3 linked regions of the Mytilus edulis genome follow. The protein of the gene in region 1 purifies or fractionates together with the protein of each later gene. This does not show direct contact. Links are inferred from orthologs where the notes say so. Each region holds a gene or a part of one and is shown in the gene's direction. Other genes may lie near its edges.

Evidence for each region.
Region 2: the proteins of lysine-specific demethylase 5A-like (region 1) and MYND-type zinc finger-containing chromatin reader ZMYND8-like purify together in Homo sapiens (affinity purification with mass spectrometry; 3 studies listed by BioGRID and IntAct, with this or other methods). This does not show direct contact. The link is inferred for Mytilus edulis from reciprocal best matches to the Homo sapiens genes KDM5A and ZMYND8.
Region 3: the proteins of lysine-specific demethylase 5A-like (region 1) and PHD finger protein 12-like purify together in Homo sapiens (affinity purification with mass spectrometry; 3 studies listed by BioGRID and IntAct, with this or other methods). This does not show direct contact. The link is inferred for Mytilus edulis from reciprocal best matches to the Homo sapiens genes KDM5A and PHF12.

What each region holds. Positions count from the first base shown.
Region 1 is NC_092344.1:46,177,292-46,185,204, forward strand, and holds the start of lysine-specific demethylase 5A-like, read left to right. Parts: upstream 1-4,819; 5' UTR 4,820-4,964; coding exon 4,965-5,117; intron 5,118-6,399; coding exon 6,400-6,477; intron 6,478-6,670; coding exon 6,671-6,730; intron 6,731-6,990; coding exon 6,991-7,053; intron 7,054-7,913. UniProt on the Homo sapiens protein: Histone demethylase that specifically demethylates 'Lys-4' of histone H3, thereby playing a central role in histone code. Does not demethylate histone H3 'Lys-9', H3 'Lys-27', H3 'Lys-36', H3 'Lys-79' or H4 'Lys-20'.
Region 2 is NC_092355.1:68,944,532-68,952,187, forward strand, and holds the start of MYND-type zinc finger-containing chromatin reader ZMYND8-like, read left to right. Parts: upstream 1-4,649; 5' UTR 4,650-4,902; intron 4,903-7,656. Other genes in the region: translocating chain-associated membrane protein 1-like, read right to left, coding at 709-793, 1,121-1,176, 1,761-1,877, 2,409-2,530, 3,413-3,476, 4,384-4,509. UniProt on the Homo sapiens protein: Chromatin reader that recognizes dual histone modifications such as histone H3.1 dimethylated at 'Lys-36' and histone H4 acetylated at 'Lys-16' (H3.1K36me2-H4K16ac) and histone H3 methylated at 'Lys-4' and histone H4 acetylated at 'Lys-14' (H3K4me1-H3K14ac).
Region 3 is NC_092349.1:72,763,847-72,771,578, reverse strand, and holds the start of PHD finger protein 12-like, read left to right. Parts: upstream 1-4,721; 5' UTR 4,722-5,113; coding exon 5,114-5,161; intron 5,162-7,732.

The sequences.
Region 1 (7,913 bases):
TTATTATACATAAGATGTAGTAAGAGGTCCAATGAGGCAACTATCAATACAAGTCACTAGCCTATTTTAAAAAGTATTGCCGAAACATTTTTCTGCAAAGTGTAGCGAGGCTAAAAATAATAAACGAAGGAATCATGCTTTCTGAGTGTTTCCCAGACCCTGTCTTAATCTGAAAGCTTGAATGTGTTCTGTTTCAAAATTGTTTATATTTTGGACTCAAAGCAAAATGTATAGAATCTGTGTAAGACTTTAGTTTCTAGGGACAACATCTAAAGAAAAATATTTAGGATAAAGCAAAAATGTAATTCACATAGTTCAGCATGTGGCCACTGGGTTTTCCTTTTTTTTTTGTGTGTGTGACTGTTTCAGCTTGCATAATTTTAATCTTTTATACCTGTAAATTATTAAAAAAAAATTCAAATAAGTCAAGAGGGGCTGAATATCATTGATATAACTATGTCAAGTAAGTTTTTATAACACATTTCAATTACAATTTGATGTAGCTCCTATAAACTTGGATACAATTTTTAGTAGTTGAAAAGTTGTAATTTTATATTAGCTATATAATATAAAACTAAAAGGTATGCAAAAAAGAATCCAGGATCAGGTGTTTAGTGTTTGTAAGCTCATGATTATGGGATTGACCCTTTCAGGATAAAGGAATTCTTTTTTCAAAATTTCATGATTATGATTTGTTTTGATTTTGGACTTCAGGATTTCATGTTTTTTAAGTCCAGGATTTGGGGATCACAACCCCTCCTACCCCCCCCCCCCCCCCCCCCCCCCCCCCCCCCCCTTTCCCTTCAATGCAGACATTTCAATTGTATCTAATTAATATTTATTCTTTTTTAAATAAAAGATATGGGAATTTTTTGCAGATTTTTTTTTTAAAAAGATGAATATTATAAATAATCTGGTGCCCTCTCAAAGTATCAAACTATGAATAGCATTTATGAAATGGCTTAAAAGACCTGCTGAGTTATTTATTTTCAATAGTAAAACATTGCAAGTCAGATTAGTTTTTACAAATTACCACAGAACAAACCATTTATTTTTGTGATCATCAAGGCAGCCCCATGTTAGGGGAGGGGGATTCTGCCAACATGTTTAACTCAACACATTATATATGTATTTGCCTGTCCCAAGTCAGGAGCCTGTAATTCAGTGGTTGTCGTTTGTTTGTGTTACATATTAGATTTTCATTCATTTTTTTATACAAATAATGTAAGGCCGTTAGTTTTCTTGTTTTGAATAATTTTACATTGTCATATAGGGGCCTTTTATAGGTGACTATGCAGTATGGGCTTTGCTCATTGTTGAAGGCTGTATGGTGACCTATAGTTGTTAATGTCTGTGTCATTTTGGTCTCTTTTGGATAGTTGTCTCATTGGCAATCAATTACCACATCTTCTTTTTTAGTTATTTATTTCACCCCCCACCATGAAATGGTTGTTCCCTTACACAACATATTTTCTGTTGAAGAACAAATAAATATACATTTATAAATATAATTTGTTCTTCTTCTTCTTCTTCTTTATAATTCAGCACTCCATCAACATACTGATGATAACGTGCCGGGCACTGATTTTACTATGCCGCGCGTGCGTGGGATATACATTTTATTTACAGTGAAAAATACAAAAATAAAAATAAAAATTTCAACATTTATAACTTCTTTTTCTTCTGTTTTTGTACTATACATTTTGGTTAAAACTATATACATTGTAGAATTTATTTAAATGTTAAGATGTTTATTGAGAACAGATATTGGAATCTGTTCTCGGAAGCTTTCAAGAGTAGTACATTGAACTGCAGCTACTGGGAGAAGGTTCCATTGCAAGATGGTTCTAGGGTAGAATGAATACTTGTATGAGTCTTTAGTGGTTTGTATGGGTCTGAAAGAGTAAATATGTGAATGTTGTCGTGTTCTTGTATCAGATTGTGTAAGTAGGTCTGTCGGATATATGGCAACAAGATGATGTATAATTTTGTAGAGGAAAATGATGCGGGTTCTAATTCGCCTTTTCTCAAGTGTTGCCCAATTTAGAGTTTGTAGCATTTCAGTGACTGAGCTGGTGTTATGGTATCTGTTGCAGGTGTACCTTGCTGCTCTGCGCTGGACCATCTCAAGTTGGTGTGTTTGAGATTTGGTGTGCGGGTCCCAGACGCAGCTGCTGTATTCTAGCTTTGGTCTTACTAGTGCAATGTATGCTTTTTCTTTGACTGTTTTTGAGTTGACTTTTAGATTCCTTTTAATAAAGTTCAGCTTTTGTGTGGCTGCAGCTGTGATATTGTTTACATGTTTGTTCCATTTGAGATCAGTTTGTATAGTTATTCCCAGATATTTTGTGGATGTTTCTTTTTGAAGTACATGTTGGTGGAGAGTATAGTCAAAATTTAATGGGTTTTTCTTAGTTGTTATCTGAAGGACTGAGCACTTGTCTGGATGGAATGACATGAGCCAGTCCTTCTCCCATTTTGCAGCTGATGTGAGATCTTCTTGCAGTTTTTGTGTGTCTTCTTTGTTTCGTATTGTTTTATAAATTATGCTATCATCTGCAAATAATCTGAGGGTACTGTGTTTGATGTATTCGTTAAAGTCGTTTATGTATACAAGGAAAAGGATCGGACCCAAAACTGTTCCTTGGGGAACACCAGATGTTACATTTATTTTGTCTGACTGAACACCATCAATGATCACTGTTTGTGTCCGAGATGTGAGAAAATCTTCTATCCATTTTAAGGTGTTGTCATCAATGCCATAATGTTTTAGTTTGTAGAGGAGTCTTTTGTGAGGAACTTTGTCAAAGGCTTTGGCAAAGTCCATCACAATTATGTCCGTTTGGATGTTACTGTTGTTATTTTTTGCTAGTTCTTGGATGAAGGATACTAGTTGGGTTTCGCATGATCTATTTGCTCGAAATCCGTGTTGAAGGTCGTACAAAATATTGTTATTTTCTAGGTGGTCCATCATACTACTGGCTATTATGTGTTCCATGATCTTACAAAGTATGCATGTGAGAGATATGGGTCTATAATTTATTGCGTTGTGTTTATCACCTTTTTTAAAAACAGGACAGACATTTGCATGTTTCCAATCTTTTGGGATTTTTCCTGTGTCGAGTGATTTTTGGAAGATGTAGGTGATTGCGGTTGAAATGTCACTACTAAGTTCTTTGAGTACTGTTCCGCAAATTTGATCTGGACCAGTTGCTTTGTTAGGATTGATCTTGTCCAGTAATTTTATGACACCTTTCTTAGAGATGGTGATCTTGTTCATTTTTGGATAGTTCGATTTTCCTTTATCCGGAATGGGTTCACTTGTTGTTTCTTCGGAAAATGCTTTTTGAAACTGACTATTTAGAATGTTAGTTTTGTCAGATGTATTGTCAGTAAGTTTACCATCTTTTCTAAGTGCAGCAATGCCTGTATTGTCATTTTTCATACTTTTTATGTATGTAAACAAGTTCTTAGGTTGTTTTTTCCTGATGTTGTCATCTGGTTCATCTACTGGTAGGTCAAATATCATTTTTTCAATGTTATTCCAGTAGGCATTACGCATTTCTTTTTGTAATGTTCTTTTTAAGTATTTGTATTTTTTCATTTGCTCTGGACTGTTTTTGCTCTTTTTATGTAGTCTTTTAACTTTGTTTATCATGATTTTTAATGTTTTATCAACCCAGGGTAGTTTTTTCTTGTTTGTGATTGTTTTCTGGGGGATGTTTTTCTTGACTGATTGAAGTAGTCTTTCTGTAAATGTATTCCATAGTTCGTCAGTAGATGAACTATGGTAATGACCTTTGATTTCTTGTGTGAGTTTGTTCACATCTTGTTTGATGTTTTCCAAGTTAGCTTTTCTGTACTGCAACATGTTTAATATTCTGCAAAACTGGAACACAATTTAAATATAATATCATTTATTTATATCTATTGGTATTTATAACAATAATATCAAACATATATCTGTATGAATATTTTTGGTGTCTCTGTTTATCTGTTTCATACTTGAGTTTCCCTAAAATTAAAAAGTGTCTCAATGACACTGCAGTCAAGAATGGAATGAATGAATATTACAAATACCTTCAAGACTATTTATTAGCGCTGAATTAACATTAACAGCCTTTCTACCCAGCTTTCTTGTCTGCTCTTCAATAATGGCATTTAAGGGGCTGATTATTATGCATTTGGTGTTATTCATTTTTCCAAGCATTTCAAAAATTAATGACTTCCCATAGCCAGTGGGTAGCATGATCAACGCATCACTTTTCATTGCACCTTGAATACTTTGCAATTGCAAAGGTTTCAAGTAGGTTAAATTAACGTTTCGCGTACAGTTGATCTTAGTTAAGGCAATTTTATGTATCAAGACATTCTTAAGTTTTTCTTTAAAATCTTTCACATCGTCTGCTGCCATATTGTTTATTGTTGTCATTTACAAATGCATGCCGGGAGAAAACACCGGCTTTCCTATTTTGATGACGTCAATATTTTTAAATTTAGAACAACCTCGATTTCAAATAAAAAGATGGCGTTATACCCTACCTGTCTTGATATATGAAATATGTAATATGCACATTGATCTAGACAGGCGAACCAGTCTACTCTAACCAATCAAAAATTTGTTTGATTAAATTCATACGCACTGACAAGTGTGAAAACATTGGAAATAAACATTTTGGAAAAAAATATTAATACATGTTTAATTTATGCTAGTCCCTTTAAAGTTTTTATTTTATATGCTAAATTATGGTTGTGGAAAAACATTCGTTCATTTTGGTACATTAAAAGATACTTTAATTAGAACTACATTGTACTTCCCATATTTAGAATAAGTATGTTCTTCGGCACCTCTCCACACATACTGGATTTTGTGTTTTAGGGATTCTACTACTATATTTTGGTCGCGTTATATTAGACCCTCTGGGTCGTTTTTGAATTGGAAGTGTCTGCCGTTGGCTTGCAGCATGGTTGACAATTCTTGTCCAAGCTTCAGGCGTCCTCCAGAGGCACCGGTATTTACTCCAACTGAGGAGGAGTTTGCCGATCCGTTGGGATACATCGCCAAAATAAGACCGATTGCAGAAAAAATTGGATTATGCAAAATTAAACCACCACCGGTCTGTTATTACTTTATAATATCATTTACTTTTCACTATTGTTGAATAATTTCTAATTGCCATTGTGTGTATTTCCCCTGAAAGTGTTGAATGAATTCTGCATGGTAATACGTGATCATACGTGCAAGTTATTTTCCCAAACATGGCGACGCCTTTTGTTCAGATCTGTCATACATTAGCACCAGCTATATAATAACTTAAAATTATAGTTATATGTTTGATAAAATGAATAGTCTATATGAAAAAAATACAACTCATGAAGTATGTGTTTACAAAATGTTTTTTAAACATGTTAAAAGTTTCTGAAAATAAAGTTATGAAACAAAGAGAAAAGCTGGGCCTCTTGTTTCTGTTTCCTACTTGAGGCCTTTTGCCTTATATGATGCAAAGGATGTACTAGTGTCTCGTAATTTAATGACTCTGTGTCTTTTATTATGATTATTAAGATTTCAACTTTTTAAAGAGTATTTTTGTATAAAAAATTCATATAATCACTACATAATTAGCAAATTTGTCTGTGTTTTACAATATAATTCTTTTTAGATTACTTCATATTATGATTAGATGAAGCATAAATAAAAAAAAAACAGTTTGTATTTTCACATTTCAATTTTACTCCAGGGTTAATCGTTTAATTAATTATAGGTTATAATTTCATATAGATTTTAGCAAAAAAAAAGGCAGAAATTTACAAGTATAATGATTTTAAAGTGTTATTTATCAAGTTAATTGTCTTTTTTTCTTATACATTCATATAAAAACACTAGGTGAAATAAATTAATGAGAAAAGAAAATCCTGGATGCAATTTAAAGATTGTTCATAACCTTTGACTGTTGACTTATTTACATCTGATCTACATGTCTTACTACAGATTTTATCTAAATATCATTTTCAAAGGCTGAAATTGAAAAAAGATGGTTGCTGTCAGCTCTAAACACTCATCTTATACTTTCCATATATTTTTGTGAGACAAAAATAAAAAAGTTGCAGGTCAAGCAAGATCTTGCAGTTTTACTCAAAAAATAATTTTGTTGAGAAAAAGAGGTTGCGAATGATTATTTTTTATTGAATTTCATCTCATTATGAATAAAATGATGAAAAATGTTAGATATGATATACTGTAAAATTCCCTATGAAGAAGGAACTACATAAAATATTTCAACCAATATGGCTGCCAAGCCAGAGACTAAAGGTAGCCATTATCAGCTTGTAAGAAAAATATTAAATATTTCTAATATATCAAATAGGTGTATTCTAATGTCCATTCTTTCGTTCATTTAGGACTGGCAACCACCTTTTGCTGTTGATGTCGAGAAATTCACATTCACTCCCAGAATACAAAGATTAAATGAACTTGATGTAAGTATATTGGGGCTCAAAATGGGCAACACTTTATAATCTTATACTTCTTGTTGCTTATTTTCGTTTATAAACTGTTTTAATGAAAAAAATAAATGAAAAATTTACAGTAACTTGATTTATTGTTAATTTATGTGAATTTTATATTCTTTTATTGATTCTATATAATAATGATTATATTTATCCTTTTCAGGCCACTTCTCGAATGAAGCTGAACTTTTTGGACCAGCTTGCAAAGTTCTGGGAGCTACAGGTAAGAATGATTCTCTTATTATTTAATTCATTATAATCTTAAATGTTGATTTTGAAGGATTTGTTAATCAACAATTTGAAATAAGAAAGAAGGTTCCCCCTTTTTTTCACAACATGTTAGCACTGTGCCAGATCTTACTTTATTTCCTTTTTCATCAGACATTGCATTGTTTTAGAAATTGTGTGAAATAAGGGACTGACTTAAAGTGTACATTGTAAATATATGCTATTATTGATCATAGAAGATTGTTTTTTTTGCAGGGTTGTTCTTTAAAAATACCTCATGTGGATAGGAAACTTGTGGATTTATATACATTATATAAGGTAAGACATACTTTTTATCTATTTTCTTCTTGTTACTTCACTATAAACATCAATCTTTTCATTGATGTCCATGTTTTCATGAATGGAGAGATCACATGATCAAAATAAGACTTTTGACCCCAGTATGTTATGAAACATATGTTTTGAATTTTCAACCCCAAAAAATGGCTGACACCAAGATAAATATAGTGTTGTGTAAACCCCCAAAAAACAAAACTTCAACATAGGGCCGGTATTGAAGCTGTAAATATACATTAAGGCAATGCCTGATCTGATTCCGTTGCTGGATAATACTATATATAAGGGTTTGTAGATCAAATAAAGAAAAAGAAATTTGCCAACCTTCCCTGACCGGTTCTGGCCCTACTTTTTATCAGAAGGTTTCAGTTAACAAACATGGGATTTTTCTTATGGTCCAGGGGGCCTCTGTGGCCAAGTGGTGTAAGAAGTTGTACTATTGTAATCACTAGACAGCCAACACTGAGGTTGTGAGTACAAACCCCGCTCATGCAGGTGTGCTCAACTCCAATCTTAATTGATAAGGATTGTCAGTTTTCCTATCAAAGAGGTCATCAAAGGTCAGTGGTTTTCTCTGGGCAAACCTGGCTTCCTCCAACAATAAAAAGTGGCCGCCATGAAATACCCCAAAAGTGGGGTTAAAACACCAAATATCAATCAATCTTTTGACCCATGTGATAGTTTAAACAATTGTTAAATTATTGCATACATGGATCTTTTAGGCAAATTTAAGTCGCCATTATCTTAATATTTTGAATTCAATCTGTAAAAATTTGCAGTGGTGGATCCAGGGAGGGTTCCAGGGATTGGAACCCCTTTTTTTGCAAGATCAATGCATTAAA
Region 2 (7,656 bases), on another chromosome or scaffold:
AATAAAAGCAATCTAAGATTATAACTATCAGCTAATTACTATGCATCTAATTCTCAATGTAACATCCGCAAAATTTATATAAAATCTCAACTCAAAAACTAACTGAAATTCAAATTCTAGTAAAGTTAGTAATCTATACCAAGAGATCAAGAGAGATCTATAAAACATGCTCACATCAAAGTGATCTAACTGGATGAAAAATCTATCATTATTGCTAATATGTAAATGTCAAATCAACATTGCCAAATATGTATAAAAGAAGATGTGGTATAATTGCCAATGAGACAACTGTCCACAAGAGACCAGAATGACACAGACATTTAAAACAACTATAGGTCACCGTAAAACCTTCAACAATGAGCAAAGTGGCCTTTTTACTCTTAACAGCTATATAAGCAAGTTTGTAAGTAGGAAGATCCATACAATTTGTCACTTCAGAAATGAAACCATCTAATAAATAAACTTTTTGAAATTGACAAATATCAGACTTTTGTGGATGAAATCTACATTGTCACTACTCACATGTTATTTTCTCTGCAAAATGTGGATAACTATTAAGTTTTGTAAATTTCAAACAAAAACAAATTGTGGAACTACAGTAAATAAGAAATGGTGCATTATTTGTGTTGTTGAGTTTAAATTTCAGTAACCTGTGGTTTATACATGAGTGTGCATAAAGAGTGTCAAAATCTGAATTATGTATTTTACCTTTTTAGTTTTCTGGAAGTAGAGTTCAGGGAAGCTATGTAACCAGTAGGCTAATTGAATGATGAAGTAAAACTTGTTCACAAATCTGAAAGAATATAAGAGCAGTATAAAAACAAGAGTGTACATTCAGAACATCTTGTCTGCTTTACTTCACATTAATATGTTGAATGTCTGAAATATGACGGTTTTACTACAAGTATCACATAAAATTTTAAAATATCAATATGTTCGTAAAACTTTTAAAAAAAATTCCACCATTTAATATTACTTGTAATTTTTCTTTATACAATTGAATGGAAATATGCTATAAAATAACATGGAACTTGTACACAGAAAAGAAATTCTCTACTTGGTTTAGATAATTTCATAATATACTATCTTTAATAGCTTTCTTTGACTTTAAAACACATACCCTAAGTTTGCATGTGGATAACCTTCCCATAAGGAATTGATGTTCAGAAAATTCTCCTGAAATAAACATAATAAATTCATATTTAGGTGTCAACTAAACGGAAAGGTTAAGTAAAAACAAACATGTACTGTAAATTCAGAAATTATTATTGCCAGGTTTCTATTGATGCTTAAAATGTGAATAGGTTAATTAGTATGACAATCAAAATAACTTTAAACTTGCATTCTGATATCTTATTTTATATATTTGTATGCAGTTTTTTCTGTAAAAGTCATCTGATTTTGGACCCGTTTTTCAACAAACAGAAGACGCCATGTTTACACTTTCATTTGACTTTAAACAAAGAAAGATAACTTGTGTTTGCAATGTTTTTTAGCAGGAAAAAGTATTCTGATTCCCAGTAAACTGGGACACATTGTCAGCTGTGTGAATTTTGGCGAAAGGTTTAATAACATCAATGCAAAACATGTAAGAGAACTTAGATGTGAAATAGGTTAATGACAGAACTTCAAATACAATTTTTCAGGAATCAATAAATTGGTACATACAAAAATTTAATTATTGGGAATCTGTTCATGTGCAATTAGCAGAATCCTTTACATGGTATAAATTTAAAAATACACTAAAATCTTCCACTTACTCGGACAATCAGATCTGCTCCCCAGGCTGCTGATACAAAGTAGAAAAATAATAATTGTCCAGACTCATTAAACTTGCTGTGCTTTATCTTGGACAGATGCATCTTCTTGTTAAGTTTCTGAAACAATACAAATATACATGTATATTGCATACATCCCACTTTTTTAACCAAGATTTAGAATACCATTTGTTAACTATATATGTACTTTACATTGTATTGAAATCAAGATTACATGTTCATTGTTGTTCTGCGGTGTGCATGTTGTGTCAACTTTTATATTATTTAATTATGCTTTTCTCTGTGATAAATGTTCTTTGTGCTTTATATGTCATGTCATGTTTTTATTTTAGCGATATTTTTAACTTTTGTCATAAAGCAAGAAGTTTGCCTAGCTGTTCAACTGGGTTCACCACAACATTTTTTCTTAAAATGTCCTGTACCAAGTCTATGTATGTTGGCATGTTTTTGTTGCACTTCAGTGTTCATGTTGTTACTTTGTTTTCCTTCTATAGTTTATGTGTTTTCCTGAGTTTAAGATTGTAATCCAGATTCGTTTTCTCTAAATCAATTTATGACTTTTGAACACCCTTATACAACTGTTGTCTTTTTTTAAGACAAAATATATTGAACAAACATCTATCTACTTACATCTAGAACATACTCTTGGACCACAGCATGGATAACAATGCAGATCAAGGTGTAGAAAAACACACAGGAGATGTCCTTAGCTCCATTAGTATACATTATGGGCAGGTCCTCTGCTTCAGACACTATAAAAATAAGACATCAATATTTAAAAACAAAACTCAGGTTTAATTTCATGATCTTATTACTTTTTCCAACTGCTAACATTCATTTGGACTTAAGAATGAAATGCTTTTTTTCAAATTTTATTGGGGTGTATTTGAAGTGATGACAGAGGCATTTTTATTTAAGGAATGAATGTAATATTTTTTCTGTCTATGAAGAAATAACATAAAAAATGAGGTGCTTAGCACATTAATTCAAAATGTGCACCCCATTTTTAATGTTATTTCGAAAAGACAGAAAAAAAATTCCACTCATTTATTATAATTTAATTCTAAATTCCATTTTAAACAGGAGTAAACCATGAAAACATGTTGATGACGTCACGGTCACATAAGAAAATTTGGTTTTTGAGTGGATAAACAAAACAACGTCAGTCAATCAGAAGACGCATAACATAAAAAATTATTTGAAAATGTGAACCTGATTGCTCAATGCTGAAGTATAAAGAAAAAGAAGACCGAGGGTAACAGTATTTCACTTTTGACTAAAAAGAATGCAGAGTGAAAAAAAGAAGAGCAAACTATTTAACAATGAAATAAATACCCTTGGTTTTAACCTATTTAAACTAGAACAGAAATAAGAATGTGTGTTCAAAGGGAAATTCTTCAATTGACCTGCCCCTTAATAATGAAATTATTTCAAGTAACTGTCAAATTTGGAATGTTGAACCTTGAATAAGAATGTCCTTATAAAATCACCTAGTTGAGGAATAGAGTGATCCCTTTTGTCGTTAATGCTCATGGCATAGTAAATCAAATAAATTTTAATTAATATTTAAATCAAAGTGTCGGGTACCCCTTAAACGATGTTTATATTAACATGTAAAGTTGTTTTACACTCACCATTAACTGTTGAGGATACATTGTGTTGTAAAGCAACAAACAGTGAAGCTACTGGAGAAGTGGCCTGTAATAAAATATATAAATTCATTATACACAATAAAAGCTGTCTATTTTTGTCTAACTTCTGCATAAATATATATACACAAATTTCTTATTGAACAAGTGTATTTTTTTTTACTTTGGCCAGTTGTAAACACTAAAACAGTACATTTTTGTACTTTTGAAAAGGATTGATTTTTTACAATCAGCATGATCAGATATTGATTTATTTCAAACTATGTTCAAGGTCCATATGTATTTATTGTTGTGGTCTACTTTAAGCCTTTTTATACCTCAAAAAAAATTTTGAATGAAATTCTGCATTTTCTGAATTGGCCAAACAGCTGCTATGTTTTCACATAGCAAAAAATATTTTTAGTTTTGAAATAATGTAATAAAAAAGGTGGGTTCTCTATCTATAATTATGAAATAAATGTAAGTATTCTCTAGACATGCTAATTAAATAAACCACTCCAACAAGTCTTTTATATACAAAAAGCAGTAAATGTTTCTTCAGTTTGACACCCTGTTGACCGTTGACAAAAGCCTGAAAAGGCATTGTTTCATATTGGCAATCATGTTTTTATAATTAAACATCTTAAATCTGACTAGCATTTAATAACAAAAAAAAAAAAAAAATGCTATTGTTTATTTTGCAGTGTAAATTTATCTGAGTATGATCCATAGACTATAGTATACATGTAGCTATCGAATTTTTGAAAGTGTCAGATGTTATTTTCGTTTGACACTGACAGATGCTTCGAAAATTTCATCAGTTTTACGACGAAATAGTCGGCTTTCTCTTAATTTTAAATTGAAAAGAAACATGCTGTTATATTTCATATTTATATAATACAAATAAGTTAAATTAAGCCAGTATTGGCAGTAAAGAAAGTACCCGGCACCTGACCGGTACCATATGGCCATCTCACCTGAAACATGAGACCAACCACAAACACCATGGCGATGCAGGAGACAATGTCTGCATGGTTTTGTATCACAAATTCATGGCTTAGAATCGGAGGATTCTTTGTTGTTCTTGGACGTCTCATTCCCATGATTATCCTTGTTTGAAAATCGTCGATGTGGCGTACGACCGCAAATTGCGTGTAAAAGGAAGTAGTAGTCTCTTCCCAAGATGCACCAGTCTGCGTTGATTTCTTTGAAAGCTCTTATTTGATTGGATAATTATTTTTTTAGATTAAGGTCAAATTTTAGATTGTCTGTGCTGTAATCCTTGCCTGAGGCTGCCTATGAAAGATTTAAAAAAACATGTTTTCTGTTAAAAGTAGAGTCATATGGTTTTCAAATCAAAGTGGGGCTTGAAGTTTGTTGCACTGAACCATAGACATTGCATATCAAGTCACTTTGTGAAAGGAAAAGACTCAGAGAGAGAAAATTCAAAGCCAAAGTAAAAAAATAAAACATGAAATTGAAAGTATAAAAGTAGAGTAAAGTAAAGATTTATAGAAAAAGTTGACTCTTTAAAACATTTAGGCCTAAACCTGCAATCAAACTTAAACAATATAAACATATTTACGACATGACACTAAGACTACTAATATGAGGTAGGCATTACCTGTGAATGGGACGGTCTGTATGATTTTTTTTTTAATCAAACATGTTTAAAAGAGAAACGGAAATACTGTAACGTTTCCGATTTTGGTACTGTTGTTAGGGATTTGAGTTATGACGTTATTTAAGTTATGACGTCATATTCAATGTAAACAAAGAAACACTGTCATCAATTACTGTAAGGATTTTTTTATATAACAAACAATTTTTAAAAATGAATTAGTATTGAGCTCCTTTCTTAGACTGATAAATATACATTTTATTCAAAGTCTCCTGCAAACATGACTGGAAACAGAAGTAGATTTCTGTGCAGAACTGGTGGAACTTTTAAACCAGAGTAAAAACAAAAAGTAACTATAGTTGATAAGTTCCTCTGGACTTTTTTCGGCTATTTAGTTCTTTCCACCCGGAACTTTCCAACGTCTAAACAAAAGAGCATTTACACCTGTACATCCCGACAACAAAAAGACACTAGGAACATATCTGAGAGTACTTACAGTTATCTGACAGCAAGTTCAAAGCCATTAACAACTAATAAAAAAATCATGCATCTAAGAAATATTTATTTTATCCACTTATAGTTAAAGACTGTAATCATCTGCCACAACATATAGAATCAGTACAGAGGTGATAATCAAGAGTATTATCTTGGAATCTGCTCTCATCCCAATTGTCTGTATACCTAACTTTTCTTGTTATCAAATGTACATGTATCTAGATAGTTTTATCTAAATGTGATAAAAGGAATATAATTTAAACTGAAGGAAATTTTTAGCTCCATATGGGAAGACATGTTAGATGGTCCCTTTTGAATTTCCATATTATGGCAGATCTCAACATGCTGAACACTTATTCACATAACAATACCTTTAAACAACTTACAATAAAAAAAAAACAATCACTCTTAGCAGTGGCGGATCCAGAACTTTTCCTAAGGGGGCCCGCTCCAGTCATGCTTCAATGATTCCCTATATAATCAACCAAATTTTTCCCACGAAAGGAGGGGCCGGGGCCCCCCAGCCCCCCCCTGGATCCGCCTATGCCTAGCAACTTTTCTTTCTACATAAAATTACATGTATTAGGTTTTCATTGACATTTACATTTATTTTACTTAATTGCACATTTCACATAGCAAATTTTGATTGGATCATCAACATCTTCTACTTTGGAGTTTAAAAATCTCCTTCAATAAAAATTCTCTTCTTTTAATCACCCCAAATTTTAAAATTATTGTTTAAAAACAACGGTACAACCAAGGATTTGTATACTATTTCTTACTATACAAATCCTTGGTACAACCAAATTCAAATTAGAACACAAAAAAAAAAAAAAAAAAGACAATGCAAAAATGGTCTGGACAGTCAATACAATAATGCAACTCCAAACTAAGCATTCCTAAGGATTGAGAAACATCAACCCAACAAAAAAAACTGGAATTGTCAGATACTTGTGTGTTATTTGCTGTCAAGTATAATCACGATTATAGAGAACATCATAGGGCTTTTTTTATATCACACCTGCCTCAACTTGAGGCATCAATATGTACATGTAATCTTAAGAGGTTTGGTCAAAAACATCTGTTAACAAAATACAGACTCAGCAATCACTGTTTAAGGTGGTACCTAACACTACAGGGAGATAACTCTGTAGAGTCAGCTGAACGTTTTAATTACTTTGTGTTGTAAAGGGAATATTAAGCTTCTCAATGATCAAAATTGGTGTTTGTTGTTGTAAACGTAGAATTCCGAGCGTTCATAAATTTATAACTTAACACCATCTTTGTAGAAAATAACAGTCACGATTTATTCACACTATATGTATATACAGACGTTACATAAAATACAAAATACACGGCATACACTCTGACAGTACAAACATTCAGCCATCTTGTCTATCCGGCAACACATCTCTCTCTCCCACGTCACTATCATACAACGTCAATAATACGGGAAACAACATTAACACTGTTTTGTGACATTACGGACATGAAGACAAAGTCACATTCACAACATTTGTCAAACTGCTAATTATAACCAGTGTAATTTTTCTGACAAAACGGTTGGTTAAAATTTTTTGAAATTTTTATATTTTTGTTAAAGGGTTAAAGTAAATACTTTGTCAAAATTTTATTAAAATTAAACGAGACAAATTAATTTTAGTGAAAGTGTTGGGTACCACCTTAAGAATAGAAACTGGCAGACATGAACGATTTATCTATGTATGTGGTAAATATGAAATATTACCTCAGCATGAGAGGATGTTTATATTGTAATTCAAATTCTATTGAAAATGAAATGCACTTTCTTCTGGAATGCTCTCTTTACAATAACCTCAGTAGAGATATGACTGAGAATGTAAAAACTGACCCCAGTTTATTTAATTTAAACAGAAATGAATCTTGTCAGACAAAACATTATTCAGACAGACAGGATTTTTTATATTTTTCCGTTGATAACATAATAGAAAGGTTTAAATTTCTTTTTCAGTCAGACAAACCATTAGTCTCCTTAGCTTAGAACGTACTGTAAAACAATAGATTTTCTGGGATACTAAATAGAAAACATTCAACAAAACAAGATTTTCACAGAACAAGAAAATTTAAACTTACCATTGTAAAAGGTTGACTGGCA
Region 3 (7,732 bases), on another chromosome or scaffold:
AATCGTCAGCTGGTTCAGTTGTCTATAATCTACACACATTCTGAGCTTGTTGTCTTTCTTCCTAACCAATACAACATTCGATGACCAAGGCGAATGCGAACGACGAATGATCCCAGCAGTAAGAAGTTGTTGAAGGTGAGTTCTAACTTCGTCGAATAAGGCAGGTGGAATACGCCGGTGTCGTTGTTTGAATGGTGTTTCATCTATCAGTTCTATCTTATGCTGTACGGCGGTGATGTGGCCTATATCAGTATCTGAAGTGCTGAATACATCTCTGAATTGATGAAGTAGTTCTCTGGCTTTACGTAGTTGATCATCAGTAAGTGTATCTGGAAATGTAGATTCATTCCATGCATCTTGTTCGTAGGTGTCTGGTACATCAATGTCGGTGACTGAAACAGGTTGAAGTTCGCAAAGGATGGCATTTGGCGAAACGGTCACTGTTCTGGTAGTTACATTGCTGATGTGTACTGGTATGATGCTGTTGTTTCTATACTGATATGATACTAGTGTTGGAGCTATATCTAAGTCTGATGGTATTGCTGCTCTATCAGTTGACTGTAGGAGTCCACAAACTGGATGGTATGGTAGTTCATGGTCCATGTATCCCTGTAGAACGACATCTTTGTTAGGTGGTATACGGATTGTCTTTCCTTCAGCACTCTTAATAATGGCAAGTCTGTTGCATCTCTTCTGCAGTTCTTTATCTCTAAGAAGCAAACATCTAAACGTAATATACCAAGGTGTATGTAGATCTGCTGTTTGTAAAAAACGTGATCCATATCGTTGCTTTACATCAGTCATTGCTGCTGTCAAAACGTTGGTTCCCAGTAGAAGTGGTACAAGCTGGTTGTAAGAACTGTCTGGAACGACTAACAGTAAGCATTGCTGAGGATCTGCTGATGTAGATGTACCTGGTAATTGTAGATCTGCTGAGATGTAACCAAGGTATGGCATATTCTGACCATCTGCACACTCGATGTTGAGTATCTGGTTGAGTGTCTGGATAGGACTATCAGCAAGGTACTGTCGATGGAATGACTGACTAACTGTACTAACTGTAGAACCAGTATCTAGTAGTGCTGATGCTTGAAGTCCATTGATGACTACTGTGACTTCATTGGGGCTACCAAGTAATCCTTCTGTATCACCTGATGACTGTCGTTGTTGGTACATCTTAGCTTCAGTGTTCATCTGCTGAAAGTTGCAGGCTTTTCTGGTGTGATCCAATCTAACACAGCAGGCAAAGGCATAGTGGCCTGGTTGTCCACATCTGTAGCATATAACAGGTTCTCTGGATGGTTGAGATACATAAGTCGGAGTAGGAGCAGGTTGGTATTCAGCTTCTATCTGGTCCCAGTATGGACGTTGTCTGTTGCGTCTTCTGTGACGGCGACGTTTTCTGCGTGGTGGATAGTACTGTGGATTATAAGTGTCGTAAGTAGTGTAGGGTTGGTCATACATGACGTTGTAACATGGCTCATTCGGTTGTTTATACATGGCTAACGGTGTAGACTAGTGTACCTATAAACATTTAATTCATTCACCCTAATTCAAGTTCAATATTAATGCAAAAATCTAATAAGTGTCAACACCACCACTCTAAATGATCAAATGGAAATTTTTAATCAATATTAAAAAATAATCAACAATGTCTATCTTCAATCTCAAAATCTAGATACTATCTAACTCAGTGAATGTCTAATATATAAAAAAAAATATGATAATAAATTTTAATTCATATCAACTTAAGTACCAAGTCACTAAACAAAGTACATTTATAAAACGATATATATACTGTGTATCTAATACCAACTAGCAATGCTACACATAAAACATAATGTGTGTTATAATTGCTAAGTTCAACTGAGCATTAACCTATACCATGTGGGTTATAGTTCAATGTAAGTACAATACACTACAACTGTATACCGAAAAATAAATTTAAAATATAAAAGTGTATGCTATATACTATGTAGCTATGCTACTGTAATCTACAAAGTATGTTTATCACTATCAGTAATACATGTACACCATCAATGAATGCCTAAATAGTATAAGTGTACATGTCCACTGACAGACTAAGTCCGTATCCAAGTAAGCCTTGGAAAAAAAAAAATAAAAAAAAAAATTTTTTAAATGTATAAATGTTAAAGTATGAAAAGGTCAAAATGTAGGACGTCAAAAAAAAATTAAAGTCCAAAAAGTGGATGCAAAATTTTCAAAAATAAATTCTAAGTGTGTAAATGTTTCAAGTGTATGCTAAGTTTCAATGTATCAAAGTGGTATACAGTATATAATGTAAATAAATATGTCCTACCTTAAACTAGAAAACTATTCCAATAATTACACTGTTCCACAAAAGTATAATTAAATCACAATATTTCACAATGTAGAATAATACAAGTTCAGTTTTCCAAAAGTGAAAAACAAAAAGTCAAGTTACTAAAAGTAACATCCGGTACTATAATGTCATCCGGTAAACTGTAAACAAACGCACGTGGACGATGATCACATGGGTCGGAATGTTAGTAAACATAAGCACGTGGTAAAGTTCATCACATGGTACCATAACGGGAGTAAACAAACACACATGGTCACTGTATACATGGACTCGAGACATCTAATGGTGGTCACTGACATCACATCTGGATCTCCACAAAAACTGGTATGTACCATCAACCCAACGATACGTGGGCGCCATTTGTAGTAGGTGGTTTTCTATGCTAAAGAGTAACACCAACAAGAGCTTAGGGTTCTGATTCTTTATTGTACCAGTATGTAAATACAAGTCTGAAATAGCAATACAACATATATAAATAACAAGCTATTTCATATAACATAAATATAATTCTTTTACGAATATCACAGGCTATAATACAGAAATATAGTAAATAATACCTTTAACTGTTATTAACTAAGTAGCAAGTAAAATGTATTGCAAGTAGAAACTGTTCAATGTTTACATTCTATAAAATATCATCGGGTGTCACGTGTACTTTTACAAACGCTTGACCTTTGACTTTACACTAAATCGGAGAGTAATATGTAATTTACGTGTATCTGTGTATTTGTATTAAATACTGGTTTACCTAACAAACGGTATATAATAAATGTTACATCTACATTTATTAATAATGACTTCATTAAAATATATAATACGTATAATAATTAACTACATAATATCATACAACAATCATAAAGTTGCAAATATAATAATCATAAAGACTTATGATGTCAATATTATCGATTCATTAAAAGCTCCAAATTAACGGGAGGTAATTCATGTTTACAATACAATATAAACAAAGTTAAACTATAAATAAATATACTCTTACCACTTGTGGAGTGAGTTGTACTACTGATAAGGTTAACGGCACATCATGTACACATCACAATCATGTGTTCTACATAATTACATTACATGGAGTCCTGAAACCAAAATACGAACATAAATACTCGGACTCTAATTATAAAAATATACAATGTACAAAATATTCTTTACGCATTCATATTTGTACTTGATAAAAACTATTTACTACAAAACTATAACTTTATATAAATGGAAACACTTTTCCGTCTTTCACTTAATAAGCCGCCATTTATAAAATATAGACTATTCCTGACAATAATCAAATAGTAATGTACGCAAATTAACAATACAATTCTACCGTGGCAAATAAACCGTAGCTTATAAAATCATATACTTCTAGCTTAATAAAATACTATCATGTACATCTCGTGTACTTGTGTTACATACATGCGATATGAGGAGAACGTTACAAAGCAAAATAGAAACTTTACTAAAATATCATTTACGTGAAAAATATAAATAATGTTAATAAAGAAGTAACTTACAGTATTCTATAATAATGTTGTCCAAAATATATAAGGTTTACAAGTAAACTATGTGGTCAAGATAAACAGACATAAATTCAATGGACTGTCATGGCTATCGTCCCGTGGAAATGTACAGGTACAAAACAAAGGAAATTAAACTTGACCGCGAAATATAAACAGCCAATCAGATACAATGATTTAAGTAAATCCCTAATCAATATTCATAAAATAACGTGAATATTACTATACATAAAAATAAGGTTTGCAAGTAATAATTTAAACTGAATATACAATATTCAAAATATGTAATAAAGCTTTTATAATAAATATAGTAATTAAATAGATGATTTTTACAATATATAAAATGATCATAAAAATCACTCTACTACATTCATACAATTGTTTTTTTAAATCGCAGGACAAGCCATTTACGTATACCTGTTACCTTAATTGGAATTATACAGATTTTCCCATTTAAAACGAAACATCTTCACTCTATAGTAAATAAACACTATTCTATAATGCTTTACTATTTGATAAACGAACAGATGAAATGGAAAGTCATTTATCGTGTAATGTATTTAATACATATCTGTTTTACACAAAACCTTGAAATGAGGGAGGGTAGGAGGGGTCCTGATCCCGAATTCCCGGGCTTAAAAATACGAAATCCCGAAATCCCGAGCTTAAAAACACGAAATCCCGAGGTCCCGAAATTCGAAAAAAAAATTCCCGGATCCCGAAAGGGTCAATCCCGAAATCCCGATCTTAAAAACACCCGATCCCGGAGTCCCGATAAAGGTCCTATCCCCCCTCTGAAATATTTTAATTGAATGTGAAATGGGAGATAATAAATTTACCCGCGTTAATTATGACCTTCACCTTATAAACTTCCGCTGTTCGGATACTACCAAATGCGCAAACGCATTGAAGAAATCCAGACTTATACGCATGCGTATTATAAATGGCCGACATATTGCGCCAAGAAGACGGCTACAGGCTAGCGAATTTGAAATGAAGACGAATTTCTGCTAAGGGTTTAAGTTTGCAACATATAACTGAGTAGCAACCACCAGCTGTGGAATTTAGCTTCATAATGAATGTATTTTTATGAAAAACCATAACTCCTTTATATGACAATCTTCAATTTTTCGCATGGCAACCGAAGTTAACTTTTTCCCATTTCTTTGGGACATAATGGAAATAATTGGTTTTTGATGACATAAAGATAACCGTACTGATAATTGTTTAAGTATTCATTCATTATTGTAAAATGGCAGCTGTTGAATACGATCTGGACACATCTGGTGGACTGATGGAGGTTTGTTACTGCTAGAAATTTCATCAGAAATATTACAAAATTAGTTTAAAAGCTGGAAATTCATCATGGCTGCCAGATGCAAACATGGCCGACACTAATCTAATAATTCCATATTATTATTAGTTTTTATCTCCAATTAAACTAAACAATAAGTGACATTGTTTTATATACAGACCTGTTGTCATAAGTTAACTTGAACATGTTAAGGCTGTATACACAAATATTGTACACATGTATGCAAGCACCAAGCAAAATTATATCCTTGTTTCATGGGTTTTCTCTCTATTAAATATGCATTATGATGTCAAATTTCAATTGAAAAAGCATGCATAGAACTAATTCATATGACTCACGAAAACAAATGATCTGACCATACATATAGCCTCTGCATGATGTGTTTAATTTCTGTTTTATTGTTTCATTTTGCTATATATTAAAAGGCAAGTATTCTGCATTTTAAAAGTGACATTTGTAGGGGTACACATCAACTCGTTCTAAAAAAAAATGTGCCATATTCTTAGCAAGCTGAAGTTGTGATTTTTGTCAACCTTTTTGAAACTTTCTTTTAAATATGGAGAGCAATTTGTGTTTATAATCTTGTGTGCATGTCCCTTTCTTTAAATCACATCAGATGTTTTCATGCACGACAACATTTTATACACTTTTTATGGTAACGACTCACTGCATATTTGTGTGCACAGCTTTCCAGTTAGATATGGTTGCCCAAATGCTAGACATTAAATTAAAGTTGTGGGAAAGAAACTTGACCTTTTTTAAGGTTAATAGAAATTGCTAAGATATTATCTCTAGCTTGCAATGTATTATTACTATTTTTATCAGGTTACAAAAAAATGTACAAATGTAACATGTAAAATTGAGAATGGAAATGGGGAATGTGTCAAAGAGACATGTATCTTTTGATATTTTGAAACCAATATCCGAAGGATAAGTTATATTTATCTATATTTTTTATGAACACACTTTTATACCAATACAATTTAAAATGTCAAAAAAAGGGGTGTAACTCTAACTATCCAATTATAAAAAAGAAATATAATAAAGACCTAATAAATTTATTTATTTAGAAATTTTAGGAAATCATTGACTTTGTAGAATGGTCATATACACACATGTATTATTGGAGAGAAAAAAATGTACATGTATCCAGTATTTTCTCTAACTTCTAGTACTTCTTTCTTAAAACTAACACCATGCAAATGAAAATATTCTGATTTTTTTCACATTGAAAACAACATTTTTCCTTGTTTAAGAATTGAATGCCTCTTTATGTAAATTTATTGGGATGTAGCATTGTTGACCTAAGTGGACAAAATGAACATTTTCTCATTTTTACAACCCTATAAAATTATTAATAAGCAGCATTTAATTTTATACTTAAAATTACATAAATTTCCAGGATCATGCATACATGATTTCTATCAACTTTTTCTTTTATTTACCTGTGCACTTTAATTTATTGTGGAAGCTTGTGTCATCAGGCCAGGTTTTTTTTCAATTTGTTGGTTTACAGATTTTTCCCATGTAAAAGTCAGGTTGGTCGGTTGAAAAAAATAGAGAAAAAAATCTTTCAAGAGAAAAATATGCAAAAAAATATCTTTTACCTTTATAACAATATGTTTGGTATGTTATTTTGTAATCATTTCCTAAATTTTAGTTTAATGAAATACTATTGCTCAGCTGTCATAAACATCACATGACTTCATATAATTATTTTCAACAACAATGAACAAGGGGGGGGGGTGGTTAATTAAAATTGTGTCCATGGACAAAGACGAAATTAAATCGTCATTTATTTAACAAGAAAAATAACGTATCCGCGTAGGTCTTAATCAATTTCAGGACACTTAGTGAATATTGAAAATCAGGCACGAAAACTGAAAAAGAAAACATTGCAAAAACGTCGTACAAAAATAAGTTTCAACATTCGTGTCAAGAACACAATAGACTCGTCCACTGGAAAAACGAGCATGGCGGGGATCATCAGTAGTCATGCTTTCCCATTTTTTTTATATCCAATTGGACGAATTTTTTTTTAATCATCTATGAAACAAGAAATATAATTTGTTTTCATTAAAGTACTTTAACGTGACATTTGTTTGGACAAGTCCATTTTCCATTTTTTCTACGAGAAACAAACTTTTTGTGTAATGGGTTTTAAACACAGGTTTCGTTTCACAAAATTATTTGCGTAAACAACATTTTAAGGTCAGTAATTATTGATTTGTCTATTTTTATATACCGTATTTATTCTAATAAACGCCCTGGGGGTGATGACAATTTCCGAAAGGAGGGCGTCAACTAGAGAAACGAATTTCGTACCTTCATTGACCTTTACCTGAATTTTGTTGAAACAGACTATAGTAACATACATGTGTTTCTTATTGTCTCCATAATCTATAAATAGCGTTTATCAGTAATGTGACCTCATCTAATAATTTGTTAAATTTTCGAATGAATTTATTCAATATTACCGTAGTTTAGAAATGCATGCCTGTTTATAAGTTTACGTTGAACTTTTAAAATAGCGTACTGTGTAACTGACAGATCTAT